Tamandua tetradactyla: one gene and its partners. The protein of the gene in region 1 interacts with the protein of each later gene in a pairwise test. Links are inferred from orthologs where the notes say so. Each region holds a gene or a part of one and is shown in the gene's direction. Other genes may lie near its edges. The genes, in order: FHL2, CSN2, GLYR1 and ID3.

Region 1 (7,572 bases):
ATGGTTTGGCTTGCTTTAGGCCCCAGCTTCCCGCTCCATCAGGTCTAACTTAGACTTCATGGGGAAAGAAAAAGAAAAAAAAAAAAAGAGTGAAAGGGTCAGAAGCTTAAACACAGCTTTACTAATTACTGGGCTCTTTTCTGCACATTTGCTCACTCCCGGCCTCAGGACACTGTCTGTGCCTAGGTTTGGAAGTTGCAGAGCGTTTGTCTGCATTGTCCTAACTCATCTATCCTCTGGTCCCCCAAACCAGGGGAAACTATTGCAGCCCGAGGGCCTGGCCACTTCTCCATGGTTTCTGGGTCTCTGTCGCATCCAGGGGCCTTGCAGCCTCTTCCCGCCACTTGACAGAAGGTGGTCGCGGGAAGAGCGGTGGGGAACCAGCAACCCCCCCGCCCCCAGCTCAAAGGACTACAGGACTAGCGGGGGAAAGGAGGGAGGGGGTCCCTGGTGTGGAGCAGAAGCCTGGAAGGAGAGGGAAAGCAAACTGCAAAGGGCGTTTCGCTAATAGTCATGCTGTTTCCATTCTCCGCCATGTGTTTTTCATTCTGGTTTGGGTTACTTTTGACTCAAATTATGGAACTTTGTCTTTTGATGAAGGTAACTTAGATGGAATTAATTTTATACAGCCAAAATGAACATTGATTTTTCTCTGGTGGAGCCCAGGATAGTGACGGGACAAAGGCCATGGATTCTTTTGTCCGATGAGCTCAATAACCACTTCCTGAGACCCCAGGGTTTCAAAGAGAGAAAGAGTTTATTACGAGGCACGTAGTAGGTGAGCAGATGGCTTAGAGGCCCCAAATCTGTCTCCCCAAAATGCAGTAATTTTGATCGTTTTGCTAGAGAAAAGATGAACCGAGTTTAGGGTGATGAGCTCAGAGACCCCTGATGATGTAATTAGAGGGGATCTGATATCTGAGCGTGCGCGGTTTGACTACATGCTTAGTTACTGAACATGTGTCAGTAAATGGTAAAATGAAGTCTAGGTGAGTTGTAGGTTAAAGTCTAAGCTACTGCGCATGTCAGATGGGCCCACTTTGATTAGATCCAGTCTCCGTTATCAAGATAACTTTGGACTTGGGGTGGGTTAGTTCCGGGCTGACCCAAGACCCTTTATTAATAAATATTAGGAGCTGTCTTTAGCAGTTACAAGACTCTAAAGTTGAAAAACTGGATAACTGGGTACAAATGAAGGCTAGTCACAAGGTTTTTACAATCACAGGGGCAGAAGATAAGGGCTATGCAGTCATTATCAGAGATCAAGGCAGCTGGATTACAATTTAGAGATTTCAAGGATTTCCCACTATCTACTCCTATATACCAAAAAGTAAAAAGGAATATCTATAGAATGATTCAGTAATCAAAACCATCCCTTAAACCCCGATTTCTCGGTTACAGAATGATGATAGGAAGTGACTAGAAAAGAAAGCACGTTTCTTTTCAGAAAGCTTCCCTCTTCCTTACACGAGAAGAGAACCTATTTTTCCGAGACCCCAGAGCGCTTTGATAAATTCAAATGGTCAAACAAGGCATCCTCTACTGAAAGACAGCCTGTGATGATAAAATGGTGTGGCCTTTAGAATGCAGAAGAGAAAGCAAATACCTCATAATCAAAAAGGTAAGACATAAAGATAAACACTCTCCTACCACGGAAATGGGGGGGCCCTTGTCTGACAATGTCGTGTGAAAACAGCCAGCACTGTCTCTCTAACGGCTAAACATGCTGTTAGGAGTAAAACTCTGTCCACTGAGGTCCCGAGCAAGTCATTTCTTTGCACTTCTGTCTCTTCTCTAAAATGCAGACAATTATACTTGGAAAGGGCATGTTCAGGTTTATGAAACACGCTTTTGAAATCAAATTTCTCCCAAGCAACCATGAAAGTTGAGCCACAGCTTCCAGCCTTTTCCAAAGCTGCACTTTGCCTGCGTCGGAGACATTTTTGCTCCGTGGAATTTCATGCTGTCCAGGTATCGCCGACTGCCTCTCTTCTGTGGCAAAATGCGGAAGATTCTTCATTCCTCTGCGGCAAAGCGCAGAGAGGGGAAGGGAGGAGCTGAGCCGGGATGTGCGGCTTGATGCCCCGTGTAAGTCAGACCCCGTAAAACACCCTCAACCGGTTCTGAGCCTTAATCATCCTACAAATGGACCTTGTGGTTTCCCCTCGGCATCTGGGCGGCACTGAAAGGCAAGAAGCAGGAGAGAAAACTGGTGTTGACACGGACCGTTGAGCTATACTCTGGCTTCATCTTTATCCGAGGGACACAGTGTCTGTTGGATAAAAAAAGTTAGAATGAAAAAGAGTCATTCTGTGATCATTTAGGTATCTTTACCAAAGCAGCCCTCAGCATAACCCAGATCAAGCCTTTCTCAGTCAATGAGTAAAAATAATAATAATAATAATAAAGAAGATCCAAAAATCAACCTAAAGTTGTAATTTGGTGGCAGTTAGGATTTAATTCCATAGAGATTTCTTTCATCTATGGCATTTTGCTTTCAAAGAGAAGTCATATGTGTCAGGCCAAAAAATGAGCAGGAAAATTTATTTTCGTATTTGTTTTAGATTGAATCATGTTCCCCGCAAAGACATGAGTCCTAACCCCTGGTCCTGTGTATGTGAAACCTTTTGTGAACGGAATCTCCAAAGTTCCTATTAAGACGAGGCTGAAGTGAAAGGGGATGGACCTTATTCCTCCATGACTCGAGTCCCTATAAGCAAAGGAAATTCGGGCACAGAAGTAAAGCCACATAAGGAGCCCGAAGGAGACGATGGCCGTGTGATGGTGGCCCCTGCAGGACACCATAGGCTTCAGAAAAAGCATGGTCTGCTGGCACCCAGCCTTTGAAAAGCGAGAGACCATCAGCTCCCATTGTGGAAGCCAGCCAGCCCGCGGGACCCGTGACAGCAGGCCTGACACACGAAAGCGGTGGTCCTGCTATTTCTAAGCTGCTAGTGTTTTGCTTTGCAGATGACTCTCATCGAGCCCTATAATGCCGTAATGAAAAAGTAAATTAAACCATAGGGAAAATGTAGATCAAAAAGGAACATGTACCCGTCTGGCCACCACAATTTTGGTTCCAAAGTAGCTTCCCATCTGCCTGAGCCGGGACGTGCCCGTTGCCGGGGTGGTCTGGGCCGCCCTCACCTGGGGCCCCGGTGGGCAGGTGCCTGCACCTGGGGACGCTGTGTTGGTCCCAGCTCGCGGGGTTCGGGCTGCTAGTCGTCCTCACTCGTGGAACCAACCTCTTAAAAACCTAAAGTCACGACTATGCACAAATCAGCAAGGCTTTAAGCCCTCAAACAGCTGTTTCTTACTATTGCTTTTCCCTTCGGATCAGCATCCCGACCCAGAGCTCTGCTGGGCAAGGCATTGGGTGGGGGGGCTGGCAGGTGTGGGGTGGGGTGCGGGGGGTGCGGCTCCCCTGATGCATCCCCAAGGCTGTCCCCCTGACTTGCTGCTACTCACAACTACAGAAAGCCGCAGGAGGCAAAGTGCTGATGGGACAAAAAAACAACGGAACAAGAAGGCACGATTGAATGCTCGTATAAATATAGAACTAGCATGGTGAGAAGACAGAAACAGCTTTCCTAGTAAATGGAAGAAACTATTTTCTTCTTTTTCTCCGGCGGGGATAGGCTTTGTGATCTCTGCCCCATGCTCTGCCTCGAGCTGGGGAGATTCCACGACACAAGACGGGGTTGCTGCAGAACTGAGAATGGGGCAATTAGGAGGGGAGGGAGATGTCCCACTACCCCCAAGAATAGAGTTTACTTTCTTCACCTCGGGCTCTCTGTACGGTGGTTGGAACGTCACCCAACAGCCAACAGCAGGAGACCCAGCATTCCGACCTCTGGCCTCCTCGAGCCCTCTTGGCCCAGGGCCCCAAATGAGCAAAGCCCTGAGTCACTAGACAAATCACATTTGCAAGGACCCTGTCCCAGGTGCCCCTCGGGGAGCTGGCCATGCTTTGAGGCCACTGGCAAGTTGTGGACATGGGGTAAGGAATTTTTCATCTTATTCCCTCTTGAGATTTTGTTTCTCAAGAGAGGCCCAGATGGGATGGAGTCTAAGCGTGACTCTCCTTCCCCCTGGGAGCTGACCCATGTAGACCATGGGGATGTGGGCCACCATGAGTGCTTGGAGCCCTGGGAGCTGGGCTGCGCCCCCTTTTCTCCTCACCCTCACCCTTCAACTTCCTCCTCAGCCACCCCCCTCACCTGCTCATGTGTCAGATTCTTCCTCTTGTTGCTATTTAGACCATTGTGAATAATTTCCACCTCATTAGTCTTACTAGGGGTGTCCAGTGCCTCATGTCTCAGGAACAGGCAACTGAGTTCTCCAGTCACCTCTCCTCTTGGGGCCTCTAACTCACCCCAATGGACACTCACCTCTCACCCACCTTCTGTTGCTGGGTGAGGCCAAGCTGTGTGGTCTTCTACGGATCTGTGTGTCTGCCTTTCTGAACACAGGAAAGCATACTTTATAGACTGGTGTATATTAAACAAAAGAAATGAAATACCCATATTCATCTATACCAAATTACTATACAAAAAGATACTTTCTAGACATAAGGCCTTAAAGGAGGAACAGAGCACAATCTGTCTGTACCAACCTCATCTGTAATTATTTCCATACAAATGTCAAGTGCAGAACTGAAGTTGTTCGCTTTATTTGACTAGAGTGTTTAGATAGTGGTACCTGGTTTTATAGACTTATTCTCTTGACAGCTGAAGCTGCGACCTACTCATGGGATTAAATTGCTCTTTTGGTTTGTTGGGGTGGTTGTCATTTAACCCCATTGGTCTCTGTGGCTCATTTGCAACAAGAAGGAGGTAAGCGGTGTCTCTTGGGAGGAGGTCTCCCTGCAGTCCTGGACTTTGGTCTGGTGGCCACTGCCATGTCAACCACATCTGTCAGCCCTGGAGGCCAAGGATTCTGCTCACTCATCCAGGAACATCTCCTGCTGAGCCTCCAGCAGGCTTCCACAGCCACTTAAGAGACCCTGAGTCATCAATGAGAGTAGGCTTGGGGCACTAGCTACACAAACCATGAGTATCGCTCTTTCCCACTTACCCTCAGAATTAAATATCCCACCCGCACTGCTTGCTGGGCTGCTATGACAAATAGCACACAATGGGATGGCTTAACAACAGGAATTTATTGACTCACAGTTTTGAGGCTGGAAGTCCCAAATCAAGGCATAGGCAGGGCAATGCTCTCTCACCAAAACCTGTCGTGGCCTAGAGTCAGCTTGCTGTAATATTTGGGGCTCCTCGGCTTGCTTCTCTGCCTCCCACAGTGGGCTGAGCTCCCTTGGGTGGGCTCCTCTGGTTTCCACTGACTTCTGGCTTCCTGCTCCTCAGATTTTCTTCCAGTAGCTTTCGCCAACTCTCAACTTCTAGTGCTTCTCTTTCTAAAGCCAGATCTAAGAAAGAAGACCCCACCTCATTCAGTCGGGCCAGACCCTTAACTGAAAAGAGCACCTTCAAGAGTTCCTATCTACAATGGGCTCACACCCATGGAAATATGGATGAGGATTAAGAACATGTCTACGTTGGGGTTCGTAATTCAATCCACCATACTTCTATTACAACAAAATATAACCTCCTCCAGCGTACATGTGGTTTAATCCAGTGGTTCTCCAATTGTGGTCCTTGGGTCCCTAGGAATCCCTGAATCTCATTCTAGGGTTGTGTGAGGTCAGATCTATTTTATTAAGGATAGTAAGCTCTTACTGGACTATTTCACTGTATTCACATTTATTATAGACATAAAAGCAGTGGTGGGAAAAACTGCTTGTGCCTTAGCTAGAATGAAAGCAGTGGCAGCAAACTCGATTAGAAGCCATAACATTCCCCACCCCAAGCACTAGCAAGAAAAACAAAAATCCAGTTTCATTTAAGAAACTGACCTTAATGAAGTGGTAAAACTTACTAATTTTATTAAATCTGGACCCTTGAACATGCATCTTTTAAATATTTTGAGTGACCAAAGAGAAGATGCATGAAGCACTTCTGCGCATATCAAAGCACCAAGGTCATCTTGAGTACAAGTCCATGTGTGAGCATGAATTGAACTAGATGCTTTTTCTGTTTTTACCGGAAAGAACAATTGACAAGCTATGATTATTCAGATTTTGGTTGCAGATATTTTCTCAAAAATGAACAGAGTCAGCCTGTCAATTTAAGGAAAACAACTGAAAGTATATGTTGCCAAAGATAAAATTTGAGCTTTGAGATGAAAATTAGCATTTTGGAAAACTTAGATCAGTCACAGTGATCTTCCCAATACTTCTAGGTTTTTCTGAGAAGATGGGTGGAGATAGTAAAGATTGTGATTTTTTTTTAATAAGAGAAGTTGCAGGTTTACAGAAAAATCATGCAGAAAACACAGAGTTCCCATATACCCTATAACCCCTTGCATTACTGTGGCACCTTTTTCACAATTGATGAAAGGATATTATTATAAATGTTCTAGTAAAAATAGTCCATAATTTACATTAGGGTTCACTGTGTACAGTTCTATGTTTTTTTTTAAAGCGTTGTTCTGGTAACTTATTTGCACATTTAAATATATAATTCTGTGGTGCTAATACATTCACAATGCTGCACAGCTGCCACCGTTATCCATTGCCAAAACTTTTCCATCACCTCAAACAGAAATTCTGTACCAGTTAAGCAGGAATTCCCCTTTATCTACCCCCACCACAGTCCCTGCAAACTGTATTCTACTTTCTAACTCTATGAATTTGTTTATTCTGATTAATTCATATCAGTGAGATCAAATAATATGTGTCTTTTTGTGGCTGGCTTATTTGACCCAACATGGTGACTTCAAGGTCCATCTGTGTTGTCACATGTATCAGACCTTTGTTCCTTTTCATGGCCAAATAATATTCCATTATATGTATAGACCACATTTTGTTCATCCATTCATCTGTTGATGGATACTAAGGTTGCTTCCATCTTTTGGTAATTGTGAATAGTGCCACTGTGAACTTTGGTGTGCAAATGCCTGTTCAAGTCCCTACTTTAATTATTTGGGGTATATATGTAGGAACGGGATTGCTAGGACATATGGTAATTCTACACCTAACTTTCTGAGGAACCAGCAGACTGTTTTCCATAGTGACTGCACCACTTTATAGTCCCACAAACAATGAGCAAGTCTTCCTGTTTCTCCACATCCTCTCCGATACTTGTTCTTTTTTTCTTTTTTTAATAGCAGCCATTCTAGTGGGTGACAAACGGCGTCTCATAGTGGTTTTGATTTGCATTTATCTAATAACTAATGATGTGGAGCCTCTTTTCCTGTGTTTTTGGGCCATTTGTTTATCTACTTTGGAGAAATGTCTATTCAGTCTTTTACTCATTTTTTAATTGGGTTGTTTGTCTTTTTCGTTGTTGAGTTGTGATTTTTTGACGTTGTGTAATTAAATGTGTTCACATTTCATAAATCTACACAATGAGTAGTTTCTAAATATTACAAAATAATGCACAATTTAAATAATGCACAATTTAAAGTTCAAGGTAGACCAAATGTGTTTTAATGTAACTGGACATAAAAATG
Region 2 (7,914 bases), on another chromosome or scaffold:
TCTGCTTATAGTGTTTTGGTGAGGATTTTTGCATCTACATTCATAAGAGATATTATTCTGTAATTTTCTTTTCTTGTGGTATCTTTATCTGGGTTTATTATGAAAGTGTTGTTAGCCTCATAGAGGGAATTAAGGAGTGTTTTCTCTTCAGTTATTTGAAAAAGTTTGAGCAGGATTGGTGTTAGTTTTTTTTGGAATTATTCTGTGATGTTATCTGGCCTTTTTTTTGTTGGGAAGGTTTTGATTACTGTTTCAGTCTCTTTTCTGTTTATTGGTTGTTCAAATTACTTATTTCTTTCTCTTATTTCTTATATTTATAGCATTTTTTTCATTTCTATAGTCTTCATAGTTATCATTTTAACAACTGCCTAGTATTCTATGTTCTTAATGTACCATCATTTATTGAACCATATCCCTAATTTCAGGAATCCTGGGTCATTTCCAATTTTTTACTAGCCTCCGTTTCATTCTCATGAAAAGGAAGGAAGGTCTTTTGAGGAGTATTGTCAAGTTGATTAAGGTAATAATCCTCTAACCCTTTCTTGAAAGTCTATACTTGACTTTCCAGTGTTCTAGACAAGAATTGCCAGTTAAAAGAACTCTCAGAGGGAGAGCAGCCAGCATGCAGATTTTGGAAATGCTAGGAGTTGGAATAAAGCAGTCAATGTGTTTTGCCCTGTTCTGTCTCTGGCTATCCTATAGGATACAGAATAATGCTACATTTGTTTTCCCGGACTGGGTAGATGTTTAAATAAACCTTGGTTCACATCCCAGATCTAGTTCTTACCCACTGGGTGGTTTGGCGAACATCCCTTAAGCCGGACCTCAAACCCTCATCTGCAAATGAGGAAATTTGTCTGGATTACTCTATTTCTTCTTAATCAGTGTAGATAGTTTGTGTGTTTCTAGGAATTTGTCTATTTCATCTAGGTTATCTAATTTATTCACAGTATTCCCTGATAGTCCTTTTGTTACAGCAGGGTTGGTGGAGAGTCCACCTCCTTTTCATTTCCGATTTTAATTCTTTGCTTCCTCTTTCTTTTTTCTTTTGTCAGTCTAGCAAAAGGTTAGTTAATTTTATTGATCTTTTCAAAGAACCAATTTTTAATTTTGTTGATAATCTTTGTTGGTTTTTGTTCTCTGTTTCTTTTTATGTCTGCCTTAATTTTTATTTCTTTTATTCTGCTTGCTTTAGGTTTAGTATGCTTTTATTTTTCTATTTTTTTTTTTTCAGTTTTGAGATTAGGTCATCCTGATTTGAAATATTTCTTCTTTTAAAATACAAATATTTAGAGGTATAATTTTCACTCTTAGCTCTCCCTTTGCTACATCCCTTAAGTTTTTGTATAATGTACTTTAATTTTCATTTGTCTGAAGATGTTTGGTAATTTCCTTTATAATTTTCTATTTAGTTCATTGGTTAAGTTGCTTTATTTCCACATATTTTTAAATATTCCATTTTACCTTCTGTTATTGATTTCTAGTTTCATTCCATTGTGCTTTGAGAAGGTACATTGTCTGATTTCAATATTTTTGAAATATTGAAACATTTTGAGACTTATTTTATGACCTAAGATGTGGTCTACACTGGAGAATGATTCATCTGCATTTGAGGATTATGTGTACTCTACTGTTGTTGGGTGAACTGTTCTATATATGTGTATAACATCTAGGGTGTCATTCCAGTATTGTATTTCCTTATTGATCATTTGTCTAGATGTTCTAACCATTAGTGAAAATGTGTATTTAGATCTACTATTAATGTGGAAGTGTATATTCATTCTTCCTTTCAGATCTATCAGTATTTTCCTCATATATTTTGGGGCTTTTCTATTAGGTGCATATATATTTGCAATTGCTATATCTTATGAATTGTCCCCTTTATTAGTGTGAATTAGCATATGTGTCTCAGTTTTTGATGTAAAGTCAGTTTTATCTAATATTAGTAGAACTACCTCAACTCTCTTCTGGTTCCTACTTGCGTTGTATACTTTTTCCATTGTATACTATTTCACTTTCTACTTACTTATGTCTATGAACTTAAGGTGAGTCTCTTGTAAATGGCAAATAGTTGGGTCACGTTTTTAAAAAATCTTTTCTGTCATTTTCTGCCTTTTGACTAGAGTGTTTAATCTGTTTACATTTAAAATCACTCCTGAGAATTCAGAATTTTTTTCTGCCATTTAGTTGTTGTAAGGTTTATTTGTTTTTTTGTCCCTCAATTCTTCTGTTAATGTCTACTTTAATATTTATTTATTTATTTTTTGTATTGTATTTTTTATTGTAACATTTTAAGTCCCTTCTCTTTTGTATAAGGATATATTTTCCTTGTGGCTACCATGGGGTTACAATCTAACATCGGAAATATATAATAATCATATTTTATTTGATAGCAACTTGACTTCAGTAGTATACTACTATGCCATTCCTACACCCTCCCTCTGTCCCCCTCCCTTTTTTTTGTACTGGTTATGAATCATATCTTTTTACATTGTAGTAAAAATTATTTTTTTTTTTACTAAGATTTTCCATTACTTTTTATGCCTTTGTATGTTAGCTACTGTGGGAAGTAAGAAGTGGAGTTGCTTACCAAAAAATAAAATACAATATTACTGGCGTTTATATTCACCCAAATGCTTTGAACTGTTGTCTACCGTCCTTTCCTCCCAGCCTGAAGAACAACCTTTAACACTGCTTGTAGTGCAGGTCTAGGGGTGATGAACTACCTCAGCTTTTGTTTCTCTCTCCCTCATTTTTGAAAGTCTTGCCACATATCAGATTCTTGATTGACAGTTATTTTCTTTCAGCACTTTAATTATTTTGACCCAGTGCCTTTTTGCCTCCATGGTTCCTAATGAGAAATTGGCAATTAATCTACTTGAAGTTTCCTTGTGCATACACTGCTCTTCTCTTGCAGCCTTCAGAACTTTTTCTTTGTCTTTTGCATTTAACAGTTTGATGGGACCTATTTTTCTTCATGTTTATCCTGTGTTGTGTTTTTTTTTGGGGGGGTGGTTTCTTGGATGTGCATATTAAGTTTGGGAATTTTTCTGTCATTATTTGTTTGAATATTCCACCTGCTTCTTTCTTTCTTTTTTTTTTTCCTTCTCCTGGGACTTTCATGATGTATTTATTGGTATGCTTGATGGCGTCCCACAGATGTCTTAGGTTTTGTCACTTTTTATAATTCTTTTTCCTTTCTGCTTCTCAACTCCAGTTATCTTGTTTGTTTCCTTTTAAAAACTTCTCTCTTTTTACTGAGGTTCTCATATTATTTGTTCATCATTTTTCTGATTGTATTAGCTTGTTAAGCTGCTAGAATGCAATATGCCAGGAATGGAATGGCTTTTAAAAAGAAAATTTAATAAGTTGCAAATTTACAGTTCTAAGCATATAATTTTATACTTGTAAGCCTTTAAAAATGTACAAACTAAAGCATCCAGACAAAGATACCTTAATCCAAGGAAGGCTGATGGATATGGAACACCTCTGTCAGCTAGGGAGGTGTATGGGTACTCCAAGCATCTCTAAACATCTGTGTCCTGAAGTAACTGTCCTTTGAAATATTACCCCCTTTAAAGACCTCTAGTAAACAAATCAGACCCACTTTGAATGGGTAGAGTCACAACTCCACCTACTTAAAAGGTCACACCTTTTGATAGACCTTTTGGGCATGCCACATCTCTGTGGAGATAATCTGATCAAAAGTTTCAGCCCTACAGTACTGAATCAAGATTAAAATAAAGGGCTTCCTCCACAAGATTGAATCAGGATTAAAACATGACTTTTCCAGGATACACAGTAGCTTCATACCAGCATACTGATATTCTTTAATTCTTTCTCAATATTTTCCTTCATCTCCTGAGCATATTGAAGATCATTTTTTAAATACTGTTTTTATAGTATATCCACAATCTGGTTTTCTTCATTGATATTTTCTGGATTTTTATCCTCTTCTTTTGGATGGGCTGTCATTTCCTTTGTCTCTGTTTGTCATGTAATGTTTTGTTGCGCACTGTATATTTTAATATTTTAAAATGTTAAGTCTGGGATTTTTTCCCTGAAATGTCTGTTTCTTGAGTATGTAACCAGGTGGTGATATGATGGAGATTTTCTTGAGTGTCAAGAGGTAACAATATGGAGCAAACGTAAGCAAAAAGCACTTTTCACTGTCTTTGCAAACCGACTTGGAGTTGTTTGGTTCTTCATCAGAGCTGCACTCACATATCACGAAGTTCAGCCCAAGGTGAATGCAAAGTGCAGGGCCCTTCTTGTCTTTTTCTGGGCCTGTATCTTGTCCTGGGCTTGTGCTTCCTGGAGGCCTTTGGATTTCCCCTTTTTATAGGACTTTGAATGGCTCTTGTACCTCCCAGAAAACAGATCTTTATCCTCTTGTGTGTATTGTACTGCTGGACTTAAAACAGGTAATCCTTTGCCCAGGCCTTCTGACTCAATTGTTTCCTACAGAACTTTTATTGTCTCAAGCTGCTTTTGCCTGGCAGCCAAATTCTGGGTGGGGGTGAGGCAGGGACACTAGGGAGGATTTTCCCAAGTCAGTCTTTCCCAGCCAGAATAAGGCCAGGAACCCATATGGTGAGCTTGCCAGCTACAGACTGCCCTGGGGAGGGTTAAAAGAGGGTCCAGGGAAGGTGCCAGGAACTTCTTACAAGGCTCCCCTATGCTTCACTCTATTGACTGGGCCCCTGCCCAGTAAATGCAGCCTTTCAGCTGTCCTCTAGAGCTCTGAGGAAGCATACTGTCTTAAGTTTCCTCTGTGGCCTTTGTCTGGGGCAGGTTGGAACAATGGTCACCCTCAGGGCCAGGGCCCTAGTGATCCAAAATAGATCATCAAAAGCAGCTATTGGTGATTGGCCCATGTTCCACCTTCGCACAGACCTTCGGGGCAGTGGATATTTTTGTCCTTCCCTGGTACCAGCAGGCTACATAAGGGCCTGGACCCGACTGTTGCATGTTGCTAGAGTGGGTGATGGGTGATGGTAACCACTGTGTGGAGAGACTCGTTTACAGGTATTTACTGTAATTTTCCAGCTTCTTCCTCTTATTCTTTCCTGGATACTGTACAGTATTCTAGCTGATTCAAACAGTTCTGGCTTGTTTGATCATTGTTCTGGTGGAGGGACTGATTCCTAGTACTTCTACCTCTCCATCTTCCCACCTTGACTTGTTTTAATTCTTTGCCCCAACACCAGCAGGACAGCTCTCTCTTAACAGTATCATCTTTGGTGAGGTATCCACTCAGATCTTTTGTCCTTTTTAGAATTGTTTTTAAAAATTGTTGCTGAGTTTTAAGAGTTTTTATGTATTTTAGATACAAGTGCTTTTCAGATATGTGTTTTGCAGAGATTTTCTCTCACCCTGTGCTTGTCTTTTCATTCTATTAACAGTGTCTTTGGAAGAGCAGAAGCTTTAAATTTTAATATAGTCCAGCTTATCAGTTTTTTCTTTCATGGAACATGGCTTTTGTGGTGTACCTTAAAAGTCATCACCAAACACCAGGTCACTTAGATTTTCTGTTCTGGAAGTTTTGTAGTTTTTTATTTAACTTGTAGATATATGATCCATTTTGAATTAACTGAACCTAGAAGTCAGCAAAGGTGAAAGCTTAGTCTTAAGTATTTTGTTTTTTGGAGCATTCATCTTTCTTAGGTATGCTCATGACTTTGTAAATTCCTTAGTATGTATGGTCACTTTTCTATGCTCTAATTTCCCAATGAAACTCTTCTCTAGCCCCAATTTTCTCTCCCATCTTTTTGGCCTGCTTATCCTTTGCCTCAACTGGACTCTTTTGTCCCAGATGGCAGTGAATTTTTCATTTGACTTACAATTTTGGGGGGAATTGTCCTCTGCGTTGTCACTTTTCTGCCCTGAAAGATTTCCTTGTTAGGTGAAACAAAGGCAAGCACCTTGTATCAGAACTTCAGGAAGCTCCCAGACAGGTCAAAAAGGACAAGTACACTTTTTTGAGAATAAGATCTGCTTTTCTTCTTCTGGAACCAGGGACCAGGGTCCATGCTGGGAACATGAACTGTCATTTTCAAGACCATTGCCCAGCTGGGAAGTGGAGTAAAGCAAGGGCAAGTAAGATGCTCAAAGTCTTCCAACCATTTGTAAGTTGCCTTTTTCTTGATTTACTTGGTTGCTTTAAACCTTTGACTATTTTTAAGAATTCTAATAAAGTTGAACTGATAGGTTTTGCTTCATTTCTCTATATTTCTTTGGAGTGATGGGTCTTTAAAGCTCTCTACTCAGCTATTTTCACTTACATGATCTCCTATATAAAGATCTTTTCTCCTAGACCTTGTTAACTAATAAGATTTTTTTTTTGTAGAGTCCTTGTTATTTCTACATAGATGATAAAGCATTATTTTAAAAAATAATCTTTGTGGCTTTTACTTTTAAAAATTTTCTTAATTCACTGTTAGAACCTCAGTACAATTTTGAATAGAAGTGGTAAGAGGCTTCTATGCCCTTTTCGTGATTTTAGGGGAAAGTGTCAGTATGATGCCAGGCATAGGTCTTTTTGAAGGTGCTCTTTGTTAGTTTGAGTAAATTCATTTCTATCTTTAATTTTGGCATGAATGAGTATAGTGTCAAATGCTTTTTCTATGTCCTTTGAGATGATCATGGTTTTTGCTTTAATCTTTCAGTATGGTGGATTGCCTTGATTTGAAAGTTAAGCTAACATTGCAGTCCTGGAATGAACCTCCTTTGATCAGTCATTTTTTTAATGTGTTGCTGGATTTGGTTTGCTAAAATTTTATTAAGAATTTTTAAGTTTATATTTATAAGGTATAATTTTTTTCCTTCTTTTATAATGCCTTTGTCTGATTTTGATATCAAGGTAATGGTGGCACCTTAAAGTGAGTTGGGCAGTGTTCCCTCCTCATATTTTCTGGGAAAATTTCTGTAGAGTTGATGTTATTTATTTTTTAAAATACTGATTTGATTTCTCTGTAAAGCCATCAAGGCCTTTGCTTTTCTGTGGGAAATTTTAAAATGATGTGTTCAATTTCTTTAATAAATGTAGACCTATTCATGTTGTCTATTTCTTCCTGTGTGAGCTTTGGTTGTTTGTGTTTTTCAAGGAGTTTGTCTGTTTCATCCATATTGTCAAATTAATTGATGTGAAATTGTTCTTAACATTCCCTTATCTATTTAATTCACGTAGGGTCTGTAGTGGTATCTTTTCTCTCATTTCTGATATTGGCAGTTTGTGCCATCTTTCTCTTTTTTGTCTTTGATCAGTGTCTAGAATTGATTTTATTGACCTTTTCAAAGAAGTACCATTTGATGTCATTGATTTTCTCAATTGGTTTTATGTTTCATAGGTATCTGGTTTTATCTCTATTACTTAACTTCTTCTGAGTGTTTTGGCCTTAATATATTCTTCTTTTTCTGGTTTCTTAAGATGATGCTTATGTCACTGATTAGGGAGCTATCTCTCTCCTGGCATAAGTATTTGATGCTATAAGATTCCCTTAGCAACAAAATAATGCAAAACAAACAAACAAAACCTCCAGCTGTAGAAAAAAAAGAAAAGAGAATATCAAGTACTGGTTATTCAGAATTATCAACCCTGTCCTGCCCTCCTTCTCTCTTCTTTCCCAGATGGCACCCTGGTACTTTCTCACTGCCCTTAACTCAACTATAAAACTCAAGCACCTCCATGCCTTCCTCAGAGTTGAATTCTACCCTTCTTCCTTCCCTTAGTGACTATGAATAAAGTCATCCTTGCCTGTTAAAAAATTCCCTTAGCACTGCTTTAGCTATATCCTCCAAAATCCTTTGATTTTGTATTTTGATCCATGGGTTATTTAGAAAAAAGTCATTTAATTTCTTATTATTTAAGGAAACTTTCATCTATCTTGCTGTTATTTAATTTTAGTTAAATTC
Region 3 (7,074 bases), on another chromosome or scaffold:
TTATTACCTAGCCTGGAATAAGCAAAAAATCAGCATCTCAGTGATGTATGTATGGCTAAACTTATTTTTCTAACAAAGTCACTGGCACTTGACCACCAGCCCTCTCCCCATTCAAACGTGGGCCTTAACAAAGTGACAAATGATCACATGCCAAAGAACTACACAATTGTGTGGGAACGTCCAACATAGATTTGGAATCTAAGAATTCCAAGGGTTTAGAGAACATAAATATGCAAACATACATTATGTACTTTTTTGTGCTACAGGAATAATTGTATCCTATTTTTACAAACTTACACCCTAATGTGAACTTTTATTTCAATAAAGTTATTCATTGTAACCTTGTTTACATAGGGGAAAATGGTGGAAACAACCCACATGTCCAGTGATAAAGGAACAGTTGAATAAATTGTAGATTTTAAATTGATTTGTGAGGCTCCTTGATATATTACAGATAAATATCCCTTTGCCTCATCACATAAATCATTATTATAAATCATTTAATCTCTCACAAGTACTCTTCCTGGCTTATTCCCTATTTAAATTTTACTTAGAATGAGGCAAGCTGAAAACTTTCTATGCCCTCAAAATTTTTTTTCCCTTGTGACTTCTCCTGTTTCTTCCATGCTTAAAATGTACTTCTCCAACCAGATCTCACATAAGAATTTATCTACACAGTCTTTTATATACTTTTCACATTTAACTATTTAACCCAAGTGGAATATATTATGCTATAAGCTATGGCGTGAGGTCCTAACTTGATTCTTCCCAGTATCAATCACTAAATAATCCCTCTTATCCCTGCCAATTTGGCATACATCATCTAGTAAAATCCCATGTTTCTTATGGTCTATTACTGAAATCCATCCTGCTGTATGAATGTAGTAGTTAAGATTTTTTTTAACTAATACCATACTGTTTTGAAGTTATACGGAATATTTTAAAATCTTGAACTGAAAGCTCTTATCACTCTTTAAAAATACCACTACCACTCCAGCCTACTTATTATTTCAGAACTTTAGAAACATTTTGTTGAGTTCTCCCAAAGGGGCTGTCAGTTTTTATTGTAACTGAATCATAAGTGAGAGTTGTCAAGAAGATGCTATTTCTCATATATATCTCTTATAAATCCATATATGTATATGCATTTGTATATATCCAATACTTATTTTCCATTATGACACAAAACCTGGGACATACTGATTCACAAGGTTGTCAAATTACATCTCAGTTGAAAGGAAAAGTTTAAAGGTCCCTTCTAATAGAGCAGACAAATACTCTAAGAAGAGAATCAAGTTAATCAATGGGATGCAAGAAGGTCATTCCGGGAGTGGCAACCAGGCAAATGCTAGTGTCCCTGTCCAGTAAGAGATTTTAAAATGTAGCCTTATCTTGGTCTGTTTTACACATCGTAACTTCAACCCACCTAAACTTCAACCACTTCTTCGTTGAAGCCTGAGAAGCCAATGGTATAGAAACAGAATTAGAGGATAAAGCAAATCAAAGATATAGCAGATTAAGACTCATGGGTTAGATTTTGGGTGAAGTTTTGTAATCATCATACTGTATTATTGTTTTTTATTAGGCCATCTGAAACATTCAAGAGAACTGGACATTAATGAGTGTTGTGAGATTTACAATTTTAATTTGAGATGCTTAAGAAAATATAATTAAGTGTGAAAGTGTTTGCACTTTTTTTTTTGAGTGGGCAGGCACCGGGAATCAGGTCTCCTCCAGCATGCCAGGCAAAAATTCTGCCACTATACCACCATTGCCTGCCCTGTACTTTCTTTCAAAAAGAACCAGATTTCCATTTATAAGTTTATTAGACTTAATGACAATTGCTTAAGTCCTCAGAAACATTTATGTTAGGTTTCTAAGTTTACTTTTTTAGACGTCTGAAGTATCTACAAGAATCAAGCATCTAAAATTTTAATTACAGAGTAATATGCTAAAGAAAATTGAACTTTGTAAAAAGAGTTATTTAGGGAAATTTGATATGTTAAACTGGTTTCTTACTTGAACTTTTGTCAAAGATCAAGTATTTTTATTTAAAAAGTCCTGTTATTTATAAATAATACAAAATGAGTAAAATTCTATCTGCAAAATCATCCCTCTTAAAAAACCTCAACTGAAATTAAACAAGAATGGCACTTTCATCTATTTCCTCACGCCTCCTTTTGTATCTCAGATTATTCCCAGGAGCTTTTCGTTGTTGTCATTGTAAACAGAACCCATTAACCAGAAAACTGAACTTTGTCGATTTTGCAGTTAGTTTTTCTTAACTCTAATTTTACTGGTTTTCCTCGACTATTCATTTCTTCAAAATATGCAATTCTATCATCCCGGGAAATGAGTAGTTTGTCTTCCCCTTCCTGAAAAATTATATTTCTTATTTTTTGTTTCATGCCTTATTGCATTGGCTAAAACTTCCAGGCTAACATAAGACAAATATTCTTAGCCATGATTATAACCTTAATGGCAATGCTTCTAGAGCCTGCATGACAGTAATTTAAAAGGCATCTATCTCTTTTATCAAGTTATTAAATATCCTTCAATTCTTCAAATTATAAGACTTTGTAAATTACGAATGCGTTTAATTTTATCAGACTGTTTCCTGGAATCCTAAATACGCTTTAAATAACCAGTTTACCTTTAAAACAAAACAATAAATGACACTTCCTGAAACTGGCTCACGGTACTTCAGAGAAACTGATCTAAGAAACCCGGCGTTGAGGCCAACTCAGCAAGCTAAAATAAAAACCCACTTACCAAGTCTGGATATGACAAAACACATACGCGAAATGCGCGCGTGGACCTCGCACCTTTTCCAGGAAATCGCTAACTCCGGAAAACTCCGGTTCTAAATCAAGCGCTAAAATCACTCCTCGGAGTCTGAAACCGGGACTGGGAGCTTTTCGAAAATTCTATTTGTTTCTACCAGGTACCCTGGAGTTTGGGCAGGCGCTGTGCCGAACTGCCACTGAGAGTCTCCCTTTAACGGTTTAACTTTCATGCGTCGACACCACGCTTGGCATCTGACTCCCTGTGGGCACAACCGCCTGATCCCAACTTCTTCCAAAGTGTCAAACTACAACGAGGCTTACGTGAGCGTCCGGTCCGTACACGGACACGCACCTTCGTCCCCCGCGCCGGCGCAGGCTACGGCCCCGCGGGCCGCACGCGTCCCCCCGCGGCTGTCCTCATGCCGGCCAGGGGCCCCAAGCGGCGGCGCGGCTAGCGGCCGGCTTCCGAGGCATGGCTCCCGGCGGGCGGCCGGCCGGCGCTGCGGCCCATGACCGGGTCCACGCGCGCCCGGGACAGCCGCGTCGGCCGTGCCGCGAGCCGGCCAAGAAGAAAGCGCAGAAGTGCCGCCTCGAGGTCCGCGGAGCAACTCGGGGGGCGGCGGAGCAGGCTGCCAGCGGGCGCCCCGGGAGAACTTGCTGCGCCGGACCCGCACCCGAACCGCTGGCCGCGCGAAAGTCGGCCGCGAGAGCGCGCCAAGGCACCCGGACGGCGGCGGGACGGACCCCCTCGCCCGCAAACAAGCGCGGCGTTCGGAGCCCCCGGGAGCTCGGGGCGCGGAGACGAGGGGGGACCCGGGCTGAGGCCAAGCAGAGCCCACCGGTCGCGGGACCCTTGGCTCCGGTTTCCAGGCCGCGCCGAGGTCCGTCAGGGGAGCTCCCGGGTGCAGCGACGAGGCCGGCCGGCGCCTCAGGCTCGGGAATGGCCCCGGGGCCCGCGCGGAACTAACGGCCGAAACGGAAGCGCCGAAGGGGGGAGGGGGCTGGAGTCCAGGGCCCCGGGAGGCGGGGCGGGCCTCAAGGCCGGCTCCCTCACGCGCTCGGCCAGCCGCACGTCGTCGCTTCCGCCGCTGCCTCAGACCGCGGGCGCTTCGTTGTCACGAGCCGAGGAGGTGGGGCGGGGGGGAAGGCGGGGAAGGAGCCGGGAGTCTAGGGTCTTCGGCTAGCGGAGACCGCGGCGCCCGAATCACGTGCCGCTCGACCGGCTAATGAGAGATAGAGGGCGCAGTGACGTCAGAGCAGCGGCGTGGCCGATGACAGCCGGCCCTCATCACGTGGTCCTCCTCACTCCAATGGGCGGTGTCGAGGCGACCTGATGTTCCCGGCGGCCTGTGCGGCGGTGGTGGTTGGGTGGTAAGATGGCGGCTGTGAGTCTGCGGCTCGGCGACTTGGTATGGTGAGTCCGGGCGGCCGGGGGCAAGCGAGGTGCTGGGGTGCTGCTCTCTGGGTACGGGGTTCACAGTCAGCCCCGGAGCTGCCCTTCTCTGCGCTTTAGGCGGCGAAGAGAGGGGAAAACTAAGTGCCAGCGCTGGGAGCGACGCCGGGCGGAAGGGGCAGTTCGGCCCCGGGGGACTGAGGCCGAGGGTAGCCGCGGTGAGCTCGACTCTGAGCCCCGAAGCCGCCCGAGGGAGGCCTGTGCACAGGTCCCAGACTTAGGCGGCCACGGTACAGGGAGCATTCGGCCGCCACACGGCTCCCACGGCTGGGGTCTTGGTGGGGCTCCCCGAAAAGCAGGACAGCTGGGGAGCCCGTGAGGCCAGTTTACCGGGCAGGCGGATCAAAACCTCCGCGTTGCGATGGATCCGACTTGTGCTGGCGGTTCGACCCGGGATGTCGAAACCGGACCACTGGCGCTGCTCGGTGAAGAAATGGAGGGGTACTTCTCCTTTACAAGCGAAGGCTTGGCAGTGAACAGTGAATGCCTTCTTGGGTATCTTTCGTGGTCTGCGTCTGTGTCCCAGACAACCGCTCGAACTAAGACTGACTGTCGCCGCCTCCCTGGAGCTGCGTAGCTCGTTTCTCGATTCCCCGGAAGAATTTCGTTAGCATTTGTCAAAGCCGGCTTGGTCTCGTGGTGAATTAAACCAGATTTTGGAAGGGGAAGTCTGTGTTTACGGAAGAAACTGCCCTCCATCCGCGAGTGTCCAGGAGACTGGACAAGTCTCATGGTTTTTCTCTGTTCCTTGTCATCAGAGGAATGCACCTAGCTCTTCGTGCACATATGTATATAATTTTGTATCTATTTCTGAGGGTTTGGGGCCATCTCAGGCCCATTGTGGAAGTCAAATTAAGAACTCCAGTTTGCCAGCTTTTTTCTGGCTCTTGAGAGTGCCGGCCGAGATTTAGAAAAGTAAATTGCAGGTTGCGTGGGCTGAAGGAGATGGACTGGCTTTCCCAAGGCAAGTGCCTGACTCTTTGTGTTTTCTCTAGGGGGAAACTCGGCAGGTATCCTCCTTGGCCAGGAAAGGTGAGTGTCTTTTGCTTCTAAAGGAAGATATCTGAAGTTGTGTTTGGGTATGTGGGGAATGTAAAATCCATTCCTCCTGGTTTCTAGCATTAATTTGAGTAAAACTCGGCCCATTTAAATAACATTTATTCTGAATTTTTAACGTTTGTTCACAATTTTTTTTCTGAGCTGTCAGTTCATTTAGAAAAGAAAATATAAGCCATGTCATTTAATCTGCAGCACTTATTTCTTGATTCATAGCTGATTTGTGTTGGTCTTTTTTGTTTTAACTCTGAAAACCAATTCTAATTGGAATTTACCTTTTTACTTAAATTTAATCACAAACAGCAATTATCCAGGAAGAGAGAAATCTAAATGTAGGTTAGTTAAAAAGTCAAAGTATTTTTGTGCTAACGAAGTTTAAGTCTTCTTTTCATTTTACCATGTGTGCTTGCTCCCATGCATCTTTGCAAAAGTTGACATTCTAGCTTCTGCACACACAAGTCAGTCCATCATAGCTCTCCAACGTTCTGTCTTTACTTTCTTGTTAGCAGTCCAGTAAATATCTTTGGACTGTCTCTTTGGAATGTGGCATTTTCAGTGCCTCTTATCCTTTGTTTTCACTGTTACCTGCCTCATGAACTCCACCTGCACAAGAAGTATTTTTAAGAGTGTCCTCAGCATTACTTCATTGATGAGACAGGATCACTTTGGGGAGGAAAAGATGTGGATTTTAGTTTGAGCTGTTTTTAAAATGGAGCCATGGCAGTGAAACGGGATATGGGGTCTGCTGAATTCAGTGCCATATGTTAGGTAGAGGACACCTGCAGAATATTTGCACATTTCCACACATCTCAATAGAAAAGTGCCAGATTTGGATATGTATTAGGCCCTAGGGTTCCTTTTTTAAATACATATTCCTCATTTATTTATTTTTTCTTACCAGTTTAGAGCTGTGGAAAATTACTTTGTAGTGAACTATATTGCCATCAAACCTCTTCTTTTTATTGCCCAGATTGTTAATCCACCCAAGGACTTGAAGAAACCACGTGGAAAGAAATGCTTCTTTGTGAAGTTTTTTGGAACAGAAGATCAGTGAGTAATGTTCATCACGAGTTTCACTTTGCCTTTGTTTGGATGTTACCCTGGGCCTGAGCTGCTCTGAGAACATTCTAGGATCTTGGTTCAGTTTTATCCTGTAGTTTGTAAGAGTAGCATATCATCCTGGCTTCATACCTAAACGAAAGGTGCTGTTCTTACTGCATAGAAATTGTCGTGGGCACCTATCCTGGTGCTGATGACTATTTCAATCAGGTAAGAACCTTCTAAATAAACTAGTCCATTCAGTTAGCTTGTCACATCTGTCTGTCTACATCCACGGGCACTTCCTTTTATAAGAGCCATGTTTGGTTCTCTTTTAATGGCTGCATACCATTGTAGTTCATGCATCACACATACAGTGAAAACTGAAATGTTTTTTATCTTAATAAAAGTAATTTTAATTTTAAGTCTTGTTCTCTTCTGTAAAACTAGGTCATTTGCCCTGACAGTGTAACAGTAAAGCTTTTTTTTTCGCATGCGCAGGCACTGGGAATCAAACCCAGGTCTTCAGCAAGGCAGGCAAGAACTCTGCCTGCTGAGCCACCGTGGCCTGCCCTAGTAAAGCTCTTTAACCAGATATGTCCTAGAGTTGAGAAAACTAGGGCCATTAATTTGAGATTGAAATCCTTTTACCTCACTCTCCAGGGCCATATAAGAAGCCACAATGAGGGAAAGAGTATATATTACATGAGTTTTCTGTGATTTGTTTAGCTTTCTCTTCAC
Region 4 (7,097 bases), on another chromosome or scaffold:
CCTGCTTCCCTGTGGGTACTCACCTCTCCATCCTAGATGCCAAGGCTGCCCCTGAATATCCCATGTTCACTGCCCACCTGCAGAAGTAAAGGGTTATTTTAGTCTAGGGGTGGTGTACCTAGACCTAAGTAGGCTACCTCTGGATTGTAAGAGAGAGAGAGGGACAGAGTGCAACTCCAAAGCTGATTCCTAAAAACAGGAGTAGTCATTCTTTACTTTATTCAAAAATAAATGTTCCCTAAAGCATGGACTGGAAAATTATTGGGGTTGGGGGGGCTTCAAATTGCCAAGAAATTTCCAAAGTTCTCTGAGTCTCTCTGTTTAGAAAACAATTTTTTTCCCTTAAGGTCTCGATACATTAGTATCTCTCCTACCTGGTGGATTTCCCCTTGCTGTTCTCGCCCTTGTAGAATTTAATCCTCTCAGCACCAAGCTAACTTTTCAGGAGGCCCTTTGTAGGGTCAGAAGGAAATGCATAGGGCACAAAGGGGGCAAGTTTTGGAGACAGTGGAAACTTGGATGCCAATGTTGGGTCTGCCACTTACTGTCATACAAGATCATACCTTGACCAATATATTAACCTTTCTGAGCCTCAGTCACTTGGTCCATAAAATGGGTCAATGAGACAACATGTGTGAAGGCAAACAGGACTCAATGAAAATGATGATGATGGCACTGAGTACTTCTGAGCTGTAGAGTAGTCCATCTTGGATGGAGGCTCTAGAAATCCCCCCACATCACTGGGAACAGCCCCAACTGGAACCAAGTATCCTCCTCCTCAAGGGCTACATCATATATATATGATGTATATATATATATATATATATATACACATCATAAATATACCTGCCCATGCCAAATATATATATATTTTGGCATGGGCAGGCACCAGGAATCGAACCCGGGTCTCTGGTGTGGCAGGCAAGAACTCTGCCTGCTGAGCCACTGTGGCCCACCCTACATCATATTGTAGCAGATAAAAAAGAATTAACTGGTTCCCACAGCACTTTCCATCTCTTGTCCCCCTGGGTCCTCCCAGTGATGAGGTAGGTGGATTTTAATTTCTTCTGCATTTTACCATCTGTAACTGGTAAAACAACTGAGGCAGACAAGTAACCCACCCAAGGATTTTCGAGCCTCAGCCTGATTCTGATCCTCTCTGCTTTCCTTGTACCACCTGAGTCTTAAGCAGTCATTTGGGGTCCAGTCCTGGTGAGGAGAGAAGAAATGTGGTCTATATGCTGGGAGATCCTCAACACACTATTACAGGCACCATGTGAGCAAACAAGTATATATTAGGAGATGCAGCAACTGGGGATTTTCCGATAACACAGCTGGTCACCCCAATACTAATGAGAGTTAGGGAGCAGAGTGGAAAGGGGATCAGGGGATGGGATAGGGGTGGGGTCTGGGTGTGGACCACAGGTTTGTTACTGATATGCCAGGAAACTTTGGGTAAGTTTCCGTGGTCCCCTTGACCCCCACTTGTACGCTATAAATGGGAGAAAAATCGATAGATGCGGAGATAGCAGCTCAGTTTAAGCAAAAAGACATCTGCAATCCTCATCATCATTACTTTGGCTTTGAAATCAACAGCTCAGTGACCCCCACCACTTTTTAAAATTTTAAAGACAAAACAGTATAACTTAATAGTTCTGCCAACTCTTCAAAAATCCGAGAGCATAGCTTTGAATTTTTTCTCCCCTTTCTTTCTTTTTTTAAATTTTGGCAGAGGAAGATTCAGTTCCTGGAAATGCTTACAAAATGATTCCTGACACTGGGAGGAGATAGTTTAAAAAGGCAGAAGAAAAACTGTATATATATATAGATAAAGAACGAAGGTGGAAAGAAAGAAGAGAGGAATACACTAAAGACAGAAAAGAAAGAAATAACTAAAAAGGGGGGGGGTGATTTAAAGGGCCCCAAAGCGAGGAACTTATCAAGTTCTCAACATCTGCAATTCACAAGGCGCTCGCGGGGTGCGGCGGCTCAAACCCCGCCCCTTTCTCGGGTGTCGGGCGCTCATTGGTGGGGGCGGCAGTCGCCGGCCGGTGACTGCCCGAGGAAAGGTTGCCTGGGACACGCATCCCTGTGTGAACGCATGACGTCCCACCCTGGCGCCAGGCTGTCTGGGGCTGAGTCTTAGATCAACACAGCTGTGGGACCGGGACCCACAGCTGGGCAAAGGAGCGGATTCCTCAACAAAAAATAGGATTGTGAGAAAAGTTCTGAAACAAAAACAGCGCAGACAAAAGCCTTAATGACATCCTTTCATAAAAATAAAAAATGCAAGAGGGGGGAAAAAGCTGGTAAAAGGAGCAGAAGTGGGAACAGAAAGTTCAGAGGCATTTGGAATAAGAGGCTGAGGCCCCCGCCACCGCTAAAAAAGTTGCAGAAGGGCCTGAGCTGGCCCGACCAGTCCCGTCTGCTGTTGAGAAAAAAGAAGTCTCTTGGATTTAAACTCTATTGAGCGTTCCCAACCTTAACCGATTTCTTTCACAGATTTCGAATCTTAAGATTGCAAAGGACGCTATCTTGCTACCACCACCCCGCTCCCCACCCCCTCTCTGAAGAAAATTAGGCCCAGGAAAGGAAGGAAATTTGCCCCAAGGCCACCCTGCAAGGACAGAATTCTGTTTGCTGATCCTGAGAAACTCTCCTGTCTTAGGTCACACAGCCCTAGGACATTTCAGGCTGGAACCATTCTGTGAAATGATAAATGTGACCAAGCACCCAGCACCTACCACACACCTGACCCCAGGCACCGAAAGACTGTGAGGTTGAGAAAGCATATCAGACACTTAACAGACAAGAGGCAGTCGATAATTATTTGTTGAATGAATGAGGGAGGTCTAATTAGTTCCATTTTATTGATCAGAAACTGGAGGCAAATAGAGGTGGTGACTTACCCAAAGGTCACGCAGTTAGTAAAAGGGAAGAATGGGGGGTTTGAACATAAATCTGTCTGGCCTGAAAGCCATGATCTTTCCAGAACCTCATGGCCTTGGTCATTCTGTACAAACCACGGAAGTGTGCATGGGAGAAAAGGAAAGGATCCTCTATTTGGTCACTTAGGAACCTCCACGGCCACCATTTTCCCTTCCCATGACCAAATAGCCGGCACGCTCTTCACTTGACTTCTTTAGCATATACAGACCCATTCATTGACTCATGGGTAAATTTTCCGGTTTCTTATACTAAAAACGTTATCCTTGAAAATATTAATATTCCAGGAAGAACTCTTTCGAAGACCTCTTTCTTAGGACACAGAGCCCTGTATGATGGAAAAGAATGGGGCTCCAGGACTGGCTCTGCCATTACTTGTGGTATAACATTAAACATGTTTTATATCCCTCTCTCTGGGCTGTTTACCACCCCTCACTTGCCTGTCCAAACTTTATAAAGCCTTAGACTTCTGTTGGACTTAGTTGGAAAGGATTTTAAATAATAATGAGCACCATCTCCACTCTTGACTCACAAGGCTTTAACTAAGGTCATGGTACCTGGGTTTGTTCAATATCATTCAACAAATTATTGGCAGAGTTGGGATGTTGACCCCTTGGCTCCTGACCCCCAGTTCGGTGTTCTTTCCACTATAACTATTTTGAGACTCTTCTTGCTCCCACTGTCCAGTTAATTAGTTGCCACACGCAATTGAACTCTTAATGTTTCCTGTGCTAATCTTGTCTCCCCAGATTGTGAGATTCCTAAGAGCAGGAGCAGGAGATGCCTTCAAAGCAATTCCATAAATATTTACCAACTGATTGACTAAGAAGCAGCTATTGGGAGACTCCACTTTGTCAGTTCCAAGATGGAAACCAGCTCTCTGGGGCTGCAAATTCCCCAAAGTCCTAGGAGGTGACAGGAATACAGGCACAGAAGACTGAACACAACTCCTGTTGCAACACAGAGCTTAGCTTGCTGCCCTCTGGTCCCTTTCCTGGGCTCTCAGATACAGCTGGAGCTATTTCAGAAGGGCTAAGAATAATCAAGTCCAGGTGGCCTGCCCATCCACAGTGGAAAGGGACAGACAATAGAGCAACGAAATTACCAAGCTTTTGTTTTCTTATAGAGGTGTGTGGAGAGTGGGGGGGAAACAGGTGAAGCAAGATTCACTGATGGAATGGGGGGAAGGGGTGCTCAAAAGATTGATGGAGAAATCTCCTCTCTTTTGTTCCCCCACATTAAAAACCCTGTCCAAACTTCTAATCTAACCCTGTTCCAAAACATGACTGGGTCATATATTTGGGTCCTTATGGAATGCATGGGCTCTGAAGGTTGGAGGGCTTTTCCTTCTCCATACAAAAAAGCATGGATTCAGACAACTATTCTTTCTCCCCCCTTTCCCCTGTTGCTCAAAAAAAAAAAGTAGTGTTCTTTGCTCAAAACCCCTTCCCCTCCTCCTTCTGCAATCTCAGCGCCTAGCCCAAATCTGTTTTCTTCATTGTAACCTCAGCTTCACCGCAATTAATTTTTCCCCCCCTCTGGTCACAAGATAATTCCTGACGCCAGTGAGTCTGGAGGTCAGACGAACAGCAAATTGGGGAACAAGGCGGCACTAATTCCTTACAAGTTTCCCTTGAAAAAATCTTTTGCTTTTAAGAAAAAAAAAAAAAAAGCTTCTTTTCTGCTCAGGGATTTATGACCTCGGACGAGCCGTGGGTTCGAACCAGTGTTGGGGCTGAGGGTGAACTGGCAGGGGAGCCCAGAGATCTGGGGCGCTGCCAGGAAAAAGGCAAATTCTTAAAGTTAATGGTTTTAAGTGAGTTTTTAAATCCTTCCTGGCGAAGAGGCCCGCCTCTCCCCACTATCAGCGTTTCCTCATTCTTTGAATCCGCGGCTCGGCGGTATTCGGCGTCAGACCAGCGGGAGGAAGCCTGTTTGCAATTTAACCGGCTTGTGAACGCCCAGGGTGAGCGGAGGCGGAGCCAGGGCGGCTATTTTTGCATAAAGGGGCGTGCCGTCCAAGGCGGCTCTATAAGACCAGGCGGCCGCCCGCGTGAGCGCGTCGCAAGCTACTCTAGGTGTCCTGCGGTCTTCGTCTCTTCGACACCTCTCCCCTCAGTCTCCAGCATGAAGGCGCTGAGCCCGGTGCGCGGCTGCTACGAGGCGGTGTGCTGCCTGTCGGAGCGCAGCCTGGCCATCGCGCGCGGCCGCGGCAAGGGCCCGGCCGCAGAGGAGCCGCTGAGCCTGCTAGACGACATGAACCACTGCTACTCGCGCCTGCGGGAACTGGTACCCGGAGTCCCGCGAGGCACTCAGCTTAGCCAGGTGGAAATCCTGCAGCGCGTCATCGACTACATCCTGGACCTGCAGGTGGTCCTGGCCGAGCCGGCTCCCGGGCCCCCAGACGGCCCGCATCTCCCGATCCAGGTGCGCTCGGGCGTGCGCGGCGCTGAGGCGGGGCTGAGCGCGCGAGGTCGGGATGCTGTGGGACCCCCCAGAGCATCTACGTGTCATGCTTAATTCTCTTTCCCTCTTTTCTCAGACAGCCGAACTCGCCCCGGAACTCGTCATCTCCAACGACAAAAGGAGTTTCTGCCACTGACCCTGCCGTCCTGGCAACTCCAGGTGAGTATCCCTTCCTCTGGGGTATCCGCTGGAGGAGAGCAGCTTAGACGACAAATCCGGGACTCGGCTGGCGATTGCCGCCCCCTCAGTTTAGGGAAAGTGAGCCTAAAAAGGGGCAAGGGACTTGCCCGTGGCAGTCGCTTCAAATGAATGGCAGAACCAGTTTCCATTAATGGTGTATTCCGGCATTAAAACGACAGCATCCCTGCTCTCCTCTGGCCAAAGACCAGGAAAAATAGGCGCGGATCCGACTAAATAGCCTTTCTGTTTGGAGTTGTAAAGAGACTTTGGAACAGTCTTCCTCCTCCCCCTCCTAACTGGTGTCAGTTCCAAAGGGGTGGGGTGGCGCAAGCTCCGCCTGTGGTCCTTTGGCGCCAACTGGGTGGGGGCCGCGCGGGGCGCGGAGTTATCAGCTGGAGGTAGAGACCAAGTTTCCTCCCTGGCGCCGGCCAGTCTACGGACGGCCCCAGCCTCGGCGCGCTGGGCGGAAACTGACGGCTCCCTCGTCTCCATCCCTCCCCCGCCCAGAACGCAGGTGCTGGCGCCCGCTCTGCCTGGGACCCCGGGACCCTCCGGCCGGAAGCTCAAGGGCATGGATGGACCCCAACCTCGCCCTTGCCCACGCGACTCCCCCAAACGCCTCGAGGCTGGACCTGGCGCCCGGGAACGAAGGACTGTGAACTTGGGTGGCCTGAAGAGCCAGAGCTAGCTCTGGGTACCAGCTGGGCCACGTCACGCAGCCCCCACCCCATTTCCAAGTTTAAAGACTGTCTTTTCAGAGTGTGGAGGTATGGGGAGAAGTGGCTGCTCTCCAGACTCTGCCAAGGCAGGTAGGGCTGGTCTTCAGGTCTCCTTGGAGAAAGGCTCTGTTGCCCTGATTATGAACTCTATAATAGAGTATATAGCTTTTTGTACCTTTTTTACAGGAAGGTGACTTTCTGTAACCATGCGATGTATATTAAACTTTTTATAAAAGTTAACATTTTGCATAATAAACGGTTTTTAAGCACCTGTGTATATAATCTGACTGGGTACCTGCATCCCCCATACCTTCTCACATTGGTTGAATTCAGGAAAGAAGAAATGTCCTTGGGGCTTAAAGGCAAAGTCATTTATTTTTTGAAGAGGGAGCTGGGAAAATGCCTGGCCTGAGGCTGAGGCTGGGTTTGGCAGTATGAGAGGGGGCTTGTGATGGTAGCCCCATGTCCACTGATGGCTGGGTGCAGAGAAGATCTTTGGCCCTACCCCTTCATTTTACACTTGACAGAAAGACCAGAGGGGGAAGTGATGGGCACAAACTCACCCAGTAAGTTGGAGACCCAGGCTAGAACTGAGGTCTCCTGAGTTCCAGTTCTTAGATCTGCTGGCTAGATCTAACAGCAAGTGGCTGTTAGTGTGGTAGATTATTCAATGTGCCTATTCTAGCAGGGGAGGTCGAAAGGGGAACCTGGGGTTTATCTTATCTGGTGCCCAGACATCTGTGGTAGTTGATACACCCATTTGAGAGATGAATAGACTGATGTCTA

The links.
Region 2: the proteins of FHL2 (region 1) and CSN2 interact in binary tests that used the Homo sapiens proteins (3 or more experiments, as listed by UniProt). The two-hybrid records come from large-scale screens. The link is inferred for Tamandua tetradactyla from reciprocal best matches to the Homo sapiens genes FHL2 and CSN2.
Region 3: the proteins of FHL2 (region 1) and GLYR1 interact in binary tests that used the Homo sapiens proteins (3 or more experiments, as listed by UniProt). The two-hybrid records come from large-scale screens. The link is inferred for Tamandua tetradactyla from reciprocal best matches to the Homo sapiens genes FHL2 and GLYR1.
Region 4: the proteins of FHL2 (region 1) and ID3 interact in binary tests that used the Homo sapiens proteins (3 or more experiments, as listed by UniProt). The link is inferred for Tamandua tetradactyla from reciprocal best matches to the Homo sapiens genes FHL2 and ID3.

What each region holds. Positions count from the first base shown.
Region 1 is NC_135343.1:70,098,419-70,105,990, reverse strand, and holds the start of FHL2 (four and a half LIM domains protein 2), read left to right. Parts: upstream 1-4,556; 5' UTR 4,557-5,521; coding exon 5,522-5,562; intron 5,563-7,572. UniProt on the Homo sapiens protein: May function as a molecular transmitter linking various signaling pathways to transcriptional regulation. Negatively regulates the transcriptional repressor E4F1 and may function in cell growth.
Region 2 is NC_135345.1:71,316,496-71,324,409, reverse strand, and holds the start of CSN2 (beta-casein), read left to right. Parts: upstream 1-4,895; 5' UTR 4,896-5,028; intron 5,029-6,018; 5' UTR 6,019-6,128; intron 6,129-7,914. UniProt on the Homo sapiens protein: Important role in determination of the surface properties of the casein micelles.
Region 3 is NC_135349.1:52,237,067-52,244,140, forward strand, and holds the start of GLYR1 (cytokine-like nuclear factor N-PAC), read left to right. Parts: upstream 1-4,067; 5' UTR 4,068-4,162; coding exon 4,163-4,200; intron 4,201-5,234; coding exon 5,235-5,271; intron 5,272-6,265; coding exon 6,266-6,345; intron 6,346-7,074. UniProt on the Homo sapiens protein: Cytokine-like nuclear factor with chromatin gene reader activity involved in chromatin modification and regulation of gene expression. Acts as a nucleosome-destabilizing factor that is recruited to genes during transcriptional activation.
Region 4 is NC_135328.1:202,660,316-202,667,412, forward strand, and holds ID3 (DNA-binding protein inhibitor ID-3), read left to right. Parts: upstream 1-4,847; 5' UTR 4,848-5,073; coding exon 5,074-5,373; intron 5,374-5,488; coding exon 5,489-5,548; 3' UTR 5,549-5,571; intron 5,572-6,099; 3' UTR 6,100-6,580; downstream 6,581-7,097. UniProt on the Homo sapiens protein: Transcriptional regulator (lacking a basic DNA binding domain) which negatively regulates the basic helix-loop-helix (bHLH) transcription factors by forming heterodimers and inhibiting their DNA binding and transcriptional activity.